3 linked regions of the Styela clava genome follow. The main gene of each other region encodes a partner of the protein of the gene in region 2 in a complex. Links are inferred from orthologs where the notes say so. Each region holds a gene or a part of one and is shown on either strand. Other genes may lie near its edges. The genes, in order: eukaryotic translation initiation factor 3 subunit E-like, eukaryotic translation initiation factor 3 subunit A-like and eukaryotic translation initiation factor 3 subunit J-like.

The links.
Region 1: eukaryotic translation initiation factor 3 subunit A-like (region 2) and eukaryotic translation initiation factor 3 subunit E-like share a complex: the UniProt entries of both Drosophila melanogaster proteins name them as parts of the eukaryotic translation initiation factor 3 (eIF-3) complex. The link is inferred for Styela clava from reciprocal best matches to the Drosophila melanogaster genes eIF3a and eIF3e.
Region 3: eukaryotic translation initiation factor 3 subunit A-like (region 2) and eukaryotic translation initiation factor 3 subunit J-like share a complex: the UniProt entries of both Drosophila melanogaster proteins name them as parts of the eukaryotic translation initiation factor 3 (eIF-3) complex. The link is inferred for Styela clava from reciprocal best matches to the Drosophila melanogaster genes eIF3a and eIF3j.

Annotation. Positions count from the first base shown.
Region 1 is NC_135257.1:13,248,838-13,252,592, forward strand, and holds the start of eukaryotic translation initiation factor 3 subunit E-like, read right to left. Parts: upstream 2,794-3,755; 5' UTR 2,767-2,793; coding exon 2,572-2,766; intron 2,183-2,571; coding exon 2,066-2,182; intron 1,826-2,065; coding exon 1,699-1,825; intron 1,619-1,698; coding exon 1,437-1,618; intron 1,048-1,436; coding exon 859-1,047; intron 538-858; coding exon 307-537; intron 1-306. UniProt on the Drosophila melanogaster protein: Component of the eukaryotic translation initiation factor 3 (eIF-3) complex, which is involved in protein synthesis of a specialized repertoire of mRNAs and, together with other initiation factors, stimulates binding of mRNA and methionyl-tRNAi to the 40S ribosome.
Region 2 is NC_135253.1:8,120,192-8,123,946, forward strand, and holds the start of eukaryotic translation initiation factor 3 subunit A-like, read left to right. Parts: upstream 1-1,014; 5' UTR 1,015-1,093; coding exon 1,094-3,755. UniProt on the Drosophila melanogaster protein: RNA-binding component of the eukaryotic translation initiation factor 3 (eIF-3) complex, which is involved in protein synthesis of a specialized repertoire of mRNAs and, together with other initiation factors, stimulates binding of mRNA and methionyl-tRNAi to the 40S ribosome.
Region 3 is NC_135257.1:14,147,510-14,151,264, forward strand, and holds the start of eukaryotic translation initiation factor 3 subunit J-like, read left to right. Parts: upstream 1-897; 5' UTR 898-1,155; coding exon 1,156-1,168; intron 1,169-1,371; coding exon 1,372-1,515; intron 1,516-2,311; coding exon 2,312-2,518; intron 2,519-2,804; coding exon 2,805-2,969; intron 2,970-3,461; coding exon 3,462-3,535; intron 3,536-3,755. UniProt on the Drosophila melanogaster protein: Component of the eukaryotic translation initiation factor 3 (eIF-3) complex, which is involved in protein synthesis of a specialized repertoire of mRNAs and, together with other initiation factors, stimulates binding of mRNA and methionyl-tRNAi to the 40S ribosome.

The sequences.
Region 1 (3,755 bases), on a different chromosome or scaffold from region 2:
GTAGGAAGAAAAAATTTATATTGATTCTACGTATCCAAAAAATGAAAAAAACCAACCATCAGATATTAGCACAAGATAATGACTGGGACTTCAAGAATCAATTGAGTTCATGTTTATCACATAAGCTAGGAACTAGTAATAGTCTTTAAGTATGACAATAGTTAAAACTCCTTAACTCTTAAAAACTTTACATTTTACTCTAAACACCACTGTTCAGTACAGCCAGACTCTTTTAATACTCATTAATAATAGTGTTAGAGCAATTAATATGGGGAAGCCAAATAATAAATAACATGAATTATATACCTGATGAATACGGCAAAATGTTTCGAAAATGAACAATCTTGCATTTTCTATGAACTCATCAAGACAAGCAATGAGGAAGAAATCGTTTGCCAATACAGTCTCACATTCCCTCAGTTTTTCTTGAGCACGATCAAAATCAAAATGAATGTAAAGACATTCAATAAATTCAGTGACTGGGTCACGGTATGTGTAGGTCTCTTGTTGAATTACACGAACAAGATCTTTCAAAACCTAGAAGACGAAGTTTGTTTAACCTAACTGCTAACTGTTGGATCTTTTGCACTAATGCAAAAATGTAAGATTTGGAAAACACCACCGCCACATTTTAAGTACTGCAGATTGAGCATTCGCTGTCGATAACCCCGACTTCGATAAATTCAGTGCTGGAATCCATCATTAAATAAAAAATATCTAGACACTAATTTTTTTAATTTGAGCAGAGGGGGAGTGTTTTTTTTTGGCGGGGGCTTTCTAGAAAAAGTCAAAAATATTATAGATTATTTATTTACCTAAAACTACCTATTACTTTACAATCAAATATTAATTGCTCACCTGTCTTCTCCTTTTACTTGTGATAACTGCTGTTGTGAGATAACGAAGTATCCAGGGACACATGGTTTGAATAGCATTTAAGTAAGGTAGTTGATAGAGAAAAAGTTCAATGATTTCATCTTTGCCCTTAGCATGATTGAAAAATACAAACAAAGACCAATGGATCAGCCATGTCCTCTGCTGGAGTAGCTGAAACAAAACATATGTTTTAAAATTTAAAATACCAAAGTCTGTAAATCCACAGAAATTAATAAATTAAACTTTGAGGTACATTTAAAATATATTCAAAAAATGTTCTCAAAACTAGAATCCATATTATTGATAAATCTATATATTTGACTATCAGCTCTGTATTTTATGGGTCTTTGAGCCCAACTGTCACATGCAGACGAATTTGCTGCCACCAGACTTCCACAGCTCTGAGCATGTTTTTACATAAATGAGGTCATGCTAAGAAAAAATAGCCTCCAACTCTAAAATTTCCAACTCTATTATTAAACATCTTATCCAATATATACATATAAATATAATATTGATATAAAGATGAGTGAAACTAGCAAATAACTAATGAGTGAAACCTGCAGAGGAGTAGCTATTGTGTTTGCATCTATTGTTTCTCGCAATCTATGCAAATCTTCCCAAGCTGTATCCCAATTCTGCATCAATATTTCACTAGCCAGTTTCCCCCACAAAGTATCCATCGCATGTTTATCTGTCGGACTTACAAGAACTCTATGAAAATATAGGTATTCAGCAGCACCTGAAAATAATATTAATAGAATTCAGGTACCAAATGGATTGAACAACCAACTTTGACTATTAAAATCTCTATAGTCATACCTGAATAGTTACCACATTCATACTGGAACTTGGCATAATCATATAAAGAATCTAAGTCTTCGAGCCTAAATGCATGGTTTGTTTCCAGATATTCAAAAAGTTGTTTTCCGTCTCTGACAGTTTCGACCTGTAAAATCAGAGAATGTTGAGAAATGCAGCTTTATCATTCAGTTGAACTGTTCATCAAACAAGTACTAGCCGAAACTTTTTAAAAGAGCAAAATACTCACGAACTGGAACTATATGGTAAAATGCTCATATTTTCTACATTAAATGAATATTCTGGACAGAAAGTATTGATTTGTATGTTGTTATCAGCATTAGTATAAAATATCAGTCATTTGAATCCAATAATAAGCAGCACCAACCTGTTTACTGACTTCCGGGTTATTGAAAATCTCAACGATAGGCATAGTTTTTGTAGTATGAGATTTTAATAAGCCGACAACTTCTAATCTTTTCTCTGTTAGATGAGCAGGAGCCTCCTTAAAAATAAGAGCATCATTAAATAGAGCACAAATGTACGTATATCAAATACCAACCCCTATTTGACTACACAATCCAAAAAATGACATCAATATCATGTCACAATCACTTCACGCCTCCAACCGATGAAATGGCATCTGCGCCGACGAAAAAGAACTCACTAAGATCGTTGCGGCGAAAAAACAAGTGATCGGAGAACATCTGCGCATCTTGGATTACAGTTCGTATAGTTTAAAGGGCCTTAATACATCGTGGTGACATAATTTTTGGATGACACAATCAAGTGTGGGTTAGATGGACATAAGCTAAAATTGTTACACCCACTAGAAGTACTCATGTTGGAAACTACACTAGACCCAAATTGAAAGCTATCAGATGCTATACTTGCCTCGCCAGGATACAAAGTTTTATAAACATCCACTGCGAAATCCACCATGTTTGTGTTGCTCAGAAGATCAATTTTTCCTTTGTGCAAATCCCTTTCATCAAATATGTCTCGTTCAGATAAAAATTCCAATAATGGAAACACCAAGTGGCGATCCAAATAACAACCAATTTTTGATGTGAGATCATATTCAGCCATTTTAAATTTAATTGGAATAACTATACCTATATAACATAAAGAAAAATTGAACCGTTTTAGTTTCCTAATTGATTTTTTCAAGTGGACTATATTTTAATTTAACTAATTGATTATCTTTTTAGAAAGAATTACACTCATTTCCCTTTTCCGAAATGTCTAATTTTAGTCCGTGATCTCAGCTGTCGGAATATCCAAATCATTTTCACAAGCCTGCAAACATCTAAACTTTCTCAAATTTGAGCAAATCACTAGTAACGCAACTTGCATGCAGATCGTACAAATGAACTTTAGGATACTTCTAATTTTATAATATTGATCTATTCATTTAAACGAGAAGTAAACAATCATACGGTGGGTACCCCTGAAATAAAGCACACAAATTCTCCTTTTCCTGTATTATAGCCACGCGAGTGTTCGAGTGATGGTGTTGAATGACGTCACTAGGGTTCAAGCATGCCTTGTCAACGCATCCTTTGTGGCCAAAGACATATTTTGTCTACTTCAAATGGCTAATTCGGTATATAAGGATGATTTTTCATTATTATTATTTGTTTTATCCTATATTCATTTGTTTGTAGACAGCAATAACGCAAATAAATAATGCAGTAGTCAAAAATCAAGATCAAGGGGTCAAGGGTCATAGAAACATCACAAATACTTTGATTGTAACCGAAGTGAATATAGTCATTCATTAGTCTGTCACTTTGATTGTAACCGCCTAGCATCAAATTATGCACTCTTTCCCGATAGGCAGTATTTTTGTTTCCGTAAATCGATTTCTTGCAGAATTCCCACAGCGAAAAACTATTTAAGCGTTGGTCTAATGACTCTAATTACATAATTAATGATGTTAGACCGCCATATTTCAGAATTTACTTTTTTCTGTTTGTCGCAAATTTCTACTTACCTAATTCAAATTCTTTCCCCAACAACTCAAGGTAACAATCCCCAAACTACTCTACTGCTGTTGAAAAGAAGTTTTTCACTTC
Region 2 (3,755 bases):
GTTTCTTTACACAACTTGATGGGCCGCGGCCCATAGCCTGATGGGCCGAGGCCCAATTCGATGGACCGTGGCCCCGGCCCATGGGCCGCAGAGGAGTCACCACTTCCACTCCTATTTGGAGTATTGAAATACAGAAATAGTCTACTCAGCTACCAACTTTAAATTCATATGGCAGTGTCACATGAAATGAATTCTACCTTATCTAGACCAGGGGTGTGCAACATTTTTTTGTCGGTGGGCCGTATATCCAACTTCAAACATCTTGCTGGTCTACATACCGCTGTATAGTGATGAAGACACTGCGTAAAATAGCGAAAAGAAAACCATTGTGTATTTTTACCCATGTTTTTAAACATAAACTGTCGATTAGGACTGGGAAAAAATGTGAATGTTGACAAGGGCCGCCTGTTGTAGACCCCTGATGGGGGCCACAAAATTATTTTTGCATTATTCACGCGCCACAATATTGCCTAGAATAGATGAACAGCGTGATATGGAACAAACACTTTTATTGTGCAAACACATTCGATCATTATTTTTCATCGATCAATCTTCCTATATGAACATTTAGTATTAGATTTTATTTTCTTCATAATGGAGAAAGACTTTTTGCAAATATAAGTGCTTTCGAACACAGATAAGATGCTGAAAGCAAAATCCCCTTGGAAAATAGTCATTGCTCACAAGATTTCAAAATGCCATTTTAGATCATATACTTTATATTCAAGCATTGTGGTATTATCCCTCACTTATCTGGTTAAAAATCGTTTTGAATTGGTCAGCTTTATTTTAAAACTCATGTTGACAAATAACTTAATTCAAAATGATCACGGCCGATTGCTGGATTGATTCCTAAATTTGCCAATTGTGAGGTACAGGAGGTAATTACTGAATTTGTTGATGAAACAGCACCAAGAATATTTTCTAATAACAATAGAATTCAAACCACATTACTCGAAATGAAAATTACCAAAGGTGGTACTGCTTTCTAGTTTACATTTTTAATGCATGTCATATGATGTTTATATTTTACAGTTAACAACATCTGATTTAGCATATTTGTCCTTATTAAGTTTTCCGCAGTTTGTCGGAGATGCCAGAGTATTTTCAACGACCTGAAAATGCTCTTAAGAGAGCGCAAGAATTTCTTGAGGTTGGAAAGCTAAAACCAGCCTTAGATGTTCTCAGTGATGTGCTGCGAAGCAAGAAGCATCGAACCTGGCAGAAGATTCATGAGCAAATCATTAGACAATATCTAAACCTTTGTGTGGACCTCCGAAAGAGCCAGGCGGCCAAAGAAGGATTGTATCAGTATAAAATAATTTGCCAGCAAGTCAACATCAACTCTCTTGAAAATGCTGTGAAGAATTATCTCAAGTTAGCTGAAGAGAAGACTGAAGAGGCAAAGGATAAATCAACTGAGACCGCTTTGCAAATGGTTGAAGATCTTGATATGATTGATTCGCCAGAAGGTGTTTTGCTTAGTGCTGTTACTGGTGAGAAAACCCATGATCGAACCAACCGTCTCATGTTGACACCTTGGGTCAAGTTTTTGTGGGAAAGCTATCGCCAATGCTTGGATCTGCTGAGAAATAATAACAGAGTCGAGAAATTGTATCAAGATATTGCTCTAAATGCATTTGAATTCTGTTTGAAGTATGATCGTCGTACAGAATTTCGAAAGCTTTGCGACAATCTTAGAAACCATGTGAAATTGAGTGAGCAGCGTCACCAAACAGCAGTATCTATCAATCTCACCAATGTGGAAAGCCAGTTGTTGCACCTTGGCACAAGGATTGCACAGCTTGATAGTGCTATTAAGATCGAGCTATGGCAAGAAGCATTCAAGGCTGTGGAGGATATCCATTATCTGATGTCACTTTCGAAAAAACCACCAAAGCCCCAAGTTTTGGTGAATTTTCATTCAAAGTTGTCTCTGGTCTTTTGGAAAGCTGGCAACATGCTTTTCCATGCAAGTTCAAGGCACCATTTGTTTCGACTCACCAAAGAGATGAAAAAGAACCCAACTAAGGATGATTTGTCTAGAATGGCTTCTCTCATGCTTGTTTCCACATTAGCTATCCCAATCACTGAGCAGAAACATGGAATTGGTAAAATGCTTGATATGGAAAGTGCTTTGATTGACAAGCACTTAAAGTTGGCAAAGCTTCTTGGGCTCAGCAGACCACCAACTCGTTCAAGCTTGATTGAGGATCTCAAGAAACACAACATATTGCAATACACACCTAAACAGCTGAGAGATCTCTTCCAATGGCTTGAGGTTGATTTCCATCCACTTCGTCTCAGTGCACGTGTTGGACAGTCATTGCAATGGATACGTGAGCAAACAAGAGAACCAGAGCTTGCACAATATATCACTGCTTTGGAGGGAAATGTTGTCTCTCGTGTTCTGCAACAAGTTGCCAATGTCTATCAAACCATTGAGCTATCTCATCTTTTGAGTCTTCTTCCGTTTTGTTCTGCTTTTCAGTTGGAGCGTGCTATTATTGATGCATCTCGCAATGGTCAGATTCAAGTTCGCATTGATCATAGTAAGGGTGCAATCAGGTTTGGCACTGACTTGAATGCTTCTCCACTTTATGTAGAGGATGAATTCTTTGAACCGCAACGCCTGCAACCTCTGCCAAGCGAAAAAATTTCTCAACAATTCAACGAAATGGCTCAATCACTTCATGTTGCTTACAGGAAACTTCAACCACAGGCAGAAGTGGATAAGATGCTCCAGAGGAAAAATGAAATTCTGAACCTCTACACAAAAACTTGGAGGAAAGATCAGCAAAATATATTGCAGAGACGACAAGTTATTGAAATGCGCAAAGAACAGCTTGAAGAATTCAGTAGAGAACGGGAGAAGCAAGAGCAAAAGGCTGCCAAAGAGCAAGAAGAAGCTGTTAAAGCAGCTGAACAAGAACGACTCACGAAGGAAATGAGAGAACGGGAAGAAATGCGTCGCCGCGAGGAAAAGGAAGATGAAGAACGTCGGGTGGCACAGGATCGCCTTGAAATGATTCGAAAGAGTGAACTTGGAGCAAAAATGCTTAAGGACATTGATGTGGACACTTTCACAAAAATTGATCCAGATGAATTAATGAAAAGACAAATGGAAACCATGGAAAGAGAAAAGAAGGATATGCAAGATAGACTGAAAGCTCAAGAGAAGAAAGTGGATTACTTTGAGAGAGCCAAACGTCTTGAAGAGATCCCGCTGATGAAAGAAAAATATGAAAAGAAACGTGAGACTGATGCCATACTATGGGAGGAACTAGAAGCAGAGCGCATTGAAAGAACCAAGGTTGAACAGATCATCACAAATCAAACCAAAGAGAGATTGTCAAGGATGAAAGAGGATCGAAATATATATTTACAGAGTCTGAGAGAATCAAGAAGAGCAATCTTTGATAAAAAGCATTCAGAATTCGAAAAAATGCTTTTCGAAGTTCGCGAAGAACGACTCGCTGAAAGAAAACAAGAGAGAAAAGAGCAACGTCGTCAAAAGTGGCTCAAAGACAAGGCAGAATATGAACAAAGAATACTTGATGAGCAGTTGAAGAGAGAGCGCGAAGAAAAAGAGCGTGCTGAACGTGAAAAACAAGAAGAAGAGACACGTGCATATGAAGAGAAGATGCAAGCACTTAAGATCGCTGAGGAGAAGCGACTGCAAAGAGAACGTGAGATTGAAGCTAAGATTGCTGCCCAACAGAATCCGAATGCCTATAGACCAAGAGGTGAAAGAG
Region 3 (3,755 bases), on a different chromosome or scaffold from region 2:
ACACAATATTTCGTTTGGGGCTTCTTATTTCATGTTGCTCTCAAAATAACGATACAGAAAAGTGACTTTTCTATTGGTTTGTTGTTAAAAGGTAAGCATGCAATTTTAAATTCTGTCACATAGTTCTTGTTTCAAGGAGTTGCTATCATTCAAGAATAGATAATTACCCGCAGAATCTTAACTCCGACAATGCTCGAAACTAAACAGACCAAAGTTGTGAGGAGTGGGTGGAAAAATATAATCAGATAAAATGTTTGATAAAAGTAAAGTTCTTTAATGAAATTCCGGTATTAGATGGAAATCTATGAGAAAAGGTTTAAATCCAAGGAATTTGGGATCGGGCTAACCCAATTTAGAACGTCAAGATCAGTAGCTTTTCAGCAACAGGAGATGAGGATTCAGCGAGAAGATTGCTATGTAAATCCTATCCCATCAAACATGGCGAATGATCAAATACTAGTCGCCATAAGGCGCGAGAGAGAAGAAATGGAAATCCGCCCAAGATTTCTCATGTATCTTGCCAGAATTGGAGCCAGCAGTTTACCTTATATCTTGGATTAATTTTAGAATTGTTTTAAAATTTTCGCTTTCCTTATTATATAAATTATTTTGGCATTTTTCATTTATTTAAGAGATAAAATGGTCGACAAATTTAGTATTTAAATTAGTATTTTGTAGAAATAGAGGATCGTTCTAACCAACAGATCTGTCAACCATGAATTACGGTACCAGCTTGCTTGAACATGTGTTGTGTGGATCGGTGTCTGTGAAGAAGGTTTTGGAGGGGTTTGGATTATATCATTGTATCAATGCTCTGTTTCTATTCCTTACTACTGTACTGTACATCATTTATTATTTGTGAATATTGCAACATAGGGTCAGTAGAGTACTTTACAATCACTGAATCAACTTTATTTTTTCTGAAGTCAGCAACTAGATCATTGCATTATTCCAGGTTGTGTTTTATTTAGTCAGTATATTTAGACATTCTGACATTCACACATTGCTTCACTGATCTGACTCTACATCGGGTTTTAGTTTTTATTCCCCGACTCTGTGACTGGAAGTTTTATCACTGAGAACACTTTCTGACTTTGTACAAATCCTGTTGAACGAAGAAAGATATTGCCAATTCTGCAATTAGAATAAAGAATCATGGCTGATTGGGGTTAGATATTGTTCATGCTAATGTTTCTTTTTATTATTGCCTTACAGTATTACCGCACTGACATGTAAAATTGACTTTAATTATTTAAATAATTTCCTAATCAAACAACTACCGTTAAGATATGGTTAAATCATACAAAATTTTTTTTTCTATTTCATCACTTGTTACATGTATGTGAACAAGGATATTTTTTACAATAACAGAAGATGAAGATTTTGAACCTCCAACTATTGACAAACCCGTTGCGCCAGCTACTGATCTGTGGGAGGGAGAAGATGAAGAGGATGACATCAAAGATAACTGGGATGATGAAGAGGAAGAGAAAAAGCCAGAAACACCGAATCAAGGTTTAATATAGCTAGGCTTTCAACTTACAAGACCAAGGCTAATGTTGAAATTTCAAAAATATTTTATTTAAAAATATTACAAAGAAATAAGTACTGTTTTTTAAGCTGGTAATCTAATTATAGTTTGAAACAATGTTCAAAAGTAGTTAAATAAAAAGTTACAGGATATTCAAAATTAAAAATATAGGTTTTTCTCAATTTCTCAAACAGGTTTCCCCCTTTTAGGTTAGAACCCTCGATATTGTAATTGTTTTGCCATTGAGTTCTTTAATATAAAAGCCTTGTTGATTTATTAATTTTTCAGATTTTGGTTGACTTTGTTTTAAATATCATCATATTGACTAGCGGAAGTTTTATAATATGACCAACAAACATGCAAAGCAAACTCATTGAATATACAAAGACTCTCTTCGTTGAAGGCACAGTTTATAGAATCCATATCTGAAAATATTATTTTAGAATGATTCAATTAGTTTTTGCTGTTTCTACTACCAATCAACCAAGACTTTGTTTTGTTTCATTCTTGAATTCTTCCATTTGAAAATATCTATTTACACATTCAATAATTCAAAAAAATTATTATCTGAAAAAAAAAAAATATATATTTTGTTTGAGTGATTGAACAATTTTTTCTGTCCAAGTGATTTCAACTGATATCCTCAAAATTTGGATTTGCTTTCCAGTTTATAGGTTTGATACAAATTATTATTATTGGTGAAATAATTCACTTCATATTTGACTGAAAATTTATATTGAATTCCTGGCCTTGCATGATTTTTTTTTGTTTCTTCATCAGCTGCAGCTGCAGGAGAACCAAAGAAAAGTACAAAAAAGGCACTGTCTAAGAAACTAAAGGAAAAAGAAGAACAAGCAGCTAGAGCAGCAGAGGCAAAAAGGCTGGCAGCACTTGCAGAGAAAACGCCAGAAGAAATTATGGCTGACAAGTTGATGGCTCAAAAGTTATCTGAAGAATCTGATTTTGAAGTTGCTAAAGATACATTCGGTTGGTTTTTTGATTGATATTTGTTAAACATATGTAGAATAAAGCAAAATAACTGATTTTTTGTCATGAATTTCTTCAAATAAGTAGCTTTTATATCGAACACTGTCTTACAAAGAAAACTCTAGGAATAGTAATTTGTGATGGCAATTTCATATCGAAGTCAGTTTTATGGTTATGGTTAATTATGGTTACAATTTGCTTTATTTTTAGGGGAAATCTTTTAGGATGTAAATGGTGATAATGCAGCAACATAAGCGAATGAAGTGTAAAAAAATTTTTTTTTCAGGTGTAACGTCTGCTGATTTGATCACAATAGACAATTGTGATCCAAGAACTAAAGAAGATTTCATAAATTTCGAAAAGTTAATTTCAGAAAAATTCTCAAAATATGAATCGTCTCCGCATTATCAATCCTTCCTTGAAACCTTATTTCGGAATTCTTGCTTAAGTCGTGAGTTGTTTTATTACAGTATTTTTAGTCTCATCTATATAATTAATATTTTTTCCCAAAGTTACTGGCAATCCGTCACATAAACCATCGTATTTAAATGAGACTGGGTAGATGTTTATTAAGGAGCAAACCTTCGGGGGTTCTTCCAAAAATCTGTAACTAGCCTATATTAAAAAGGGTCATCTGTAAATGGACTTTCTATTCGAAATGTCTGTGAAATTTAGTCGAGCAGATTTGGAAATTGGAAACACTTTGGGAATTTTTCCATATGGATCCTTTTAGATTAATCAGTAATTTGATGAATAATAACTAACATGATAATTACTTTAGGGAAACAATAATGGAGACAGCTAGTATGTCCTGACATATTTTTGTTGTCTGACTGATTTTCCTGATCTAAATTGCAATATTTCTAGATAGGACTTGTTACAAATAAAGCATCCAGAGCTGCTTAATATTCAATGCATTTCTCATTCATCTGCTTTTCCTTAGTTGATGCCGAATCTTTGAAGAAACTCATAAGTTCTTTGAATGTTTTACAAAGTGAAAAAGCAAAACAAGAAAGGGTATGTTTTAGATTTTTGACGACTTACAGATTAATTGAAAATATATGTACACACACAAAAATTTGTACCTTAATTATGAAAATCATTTTGTATGGTGTTCAGAAATCCTTTCATTCATGGTTTGAGACTGCGTCTTCACCAAGGGATTCTTGCCATCATGATAGCAAGCATATTCTCAATGCTAAGCTGAATATGCCACAGTGCAGCCAATTCCCTCACT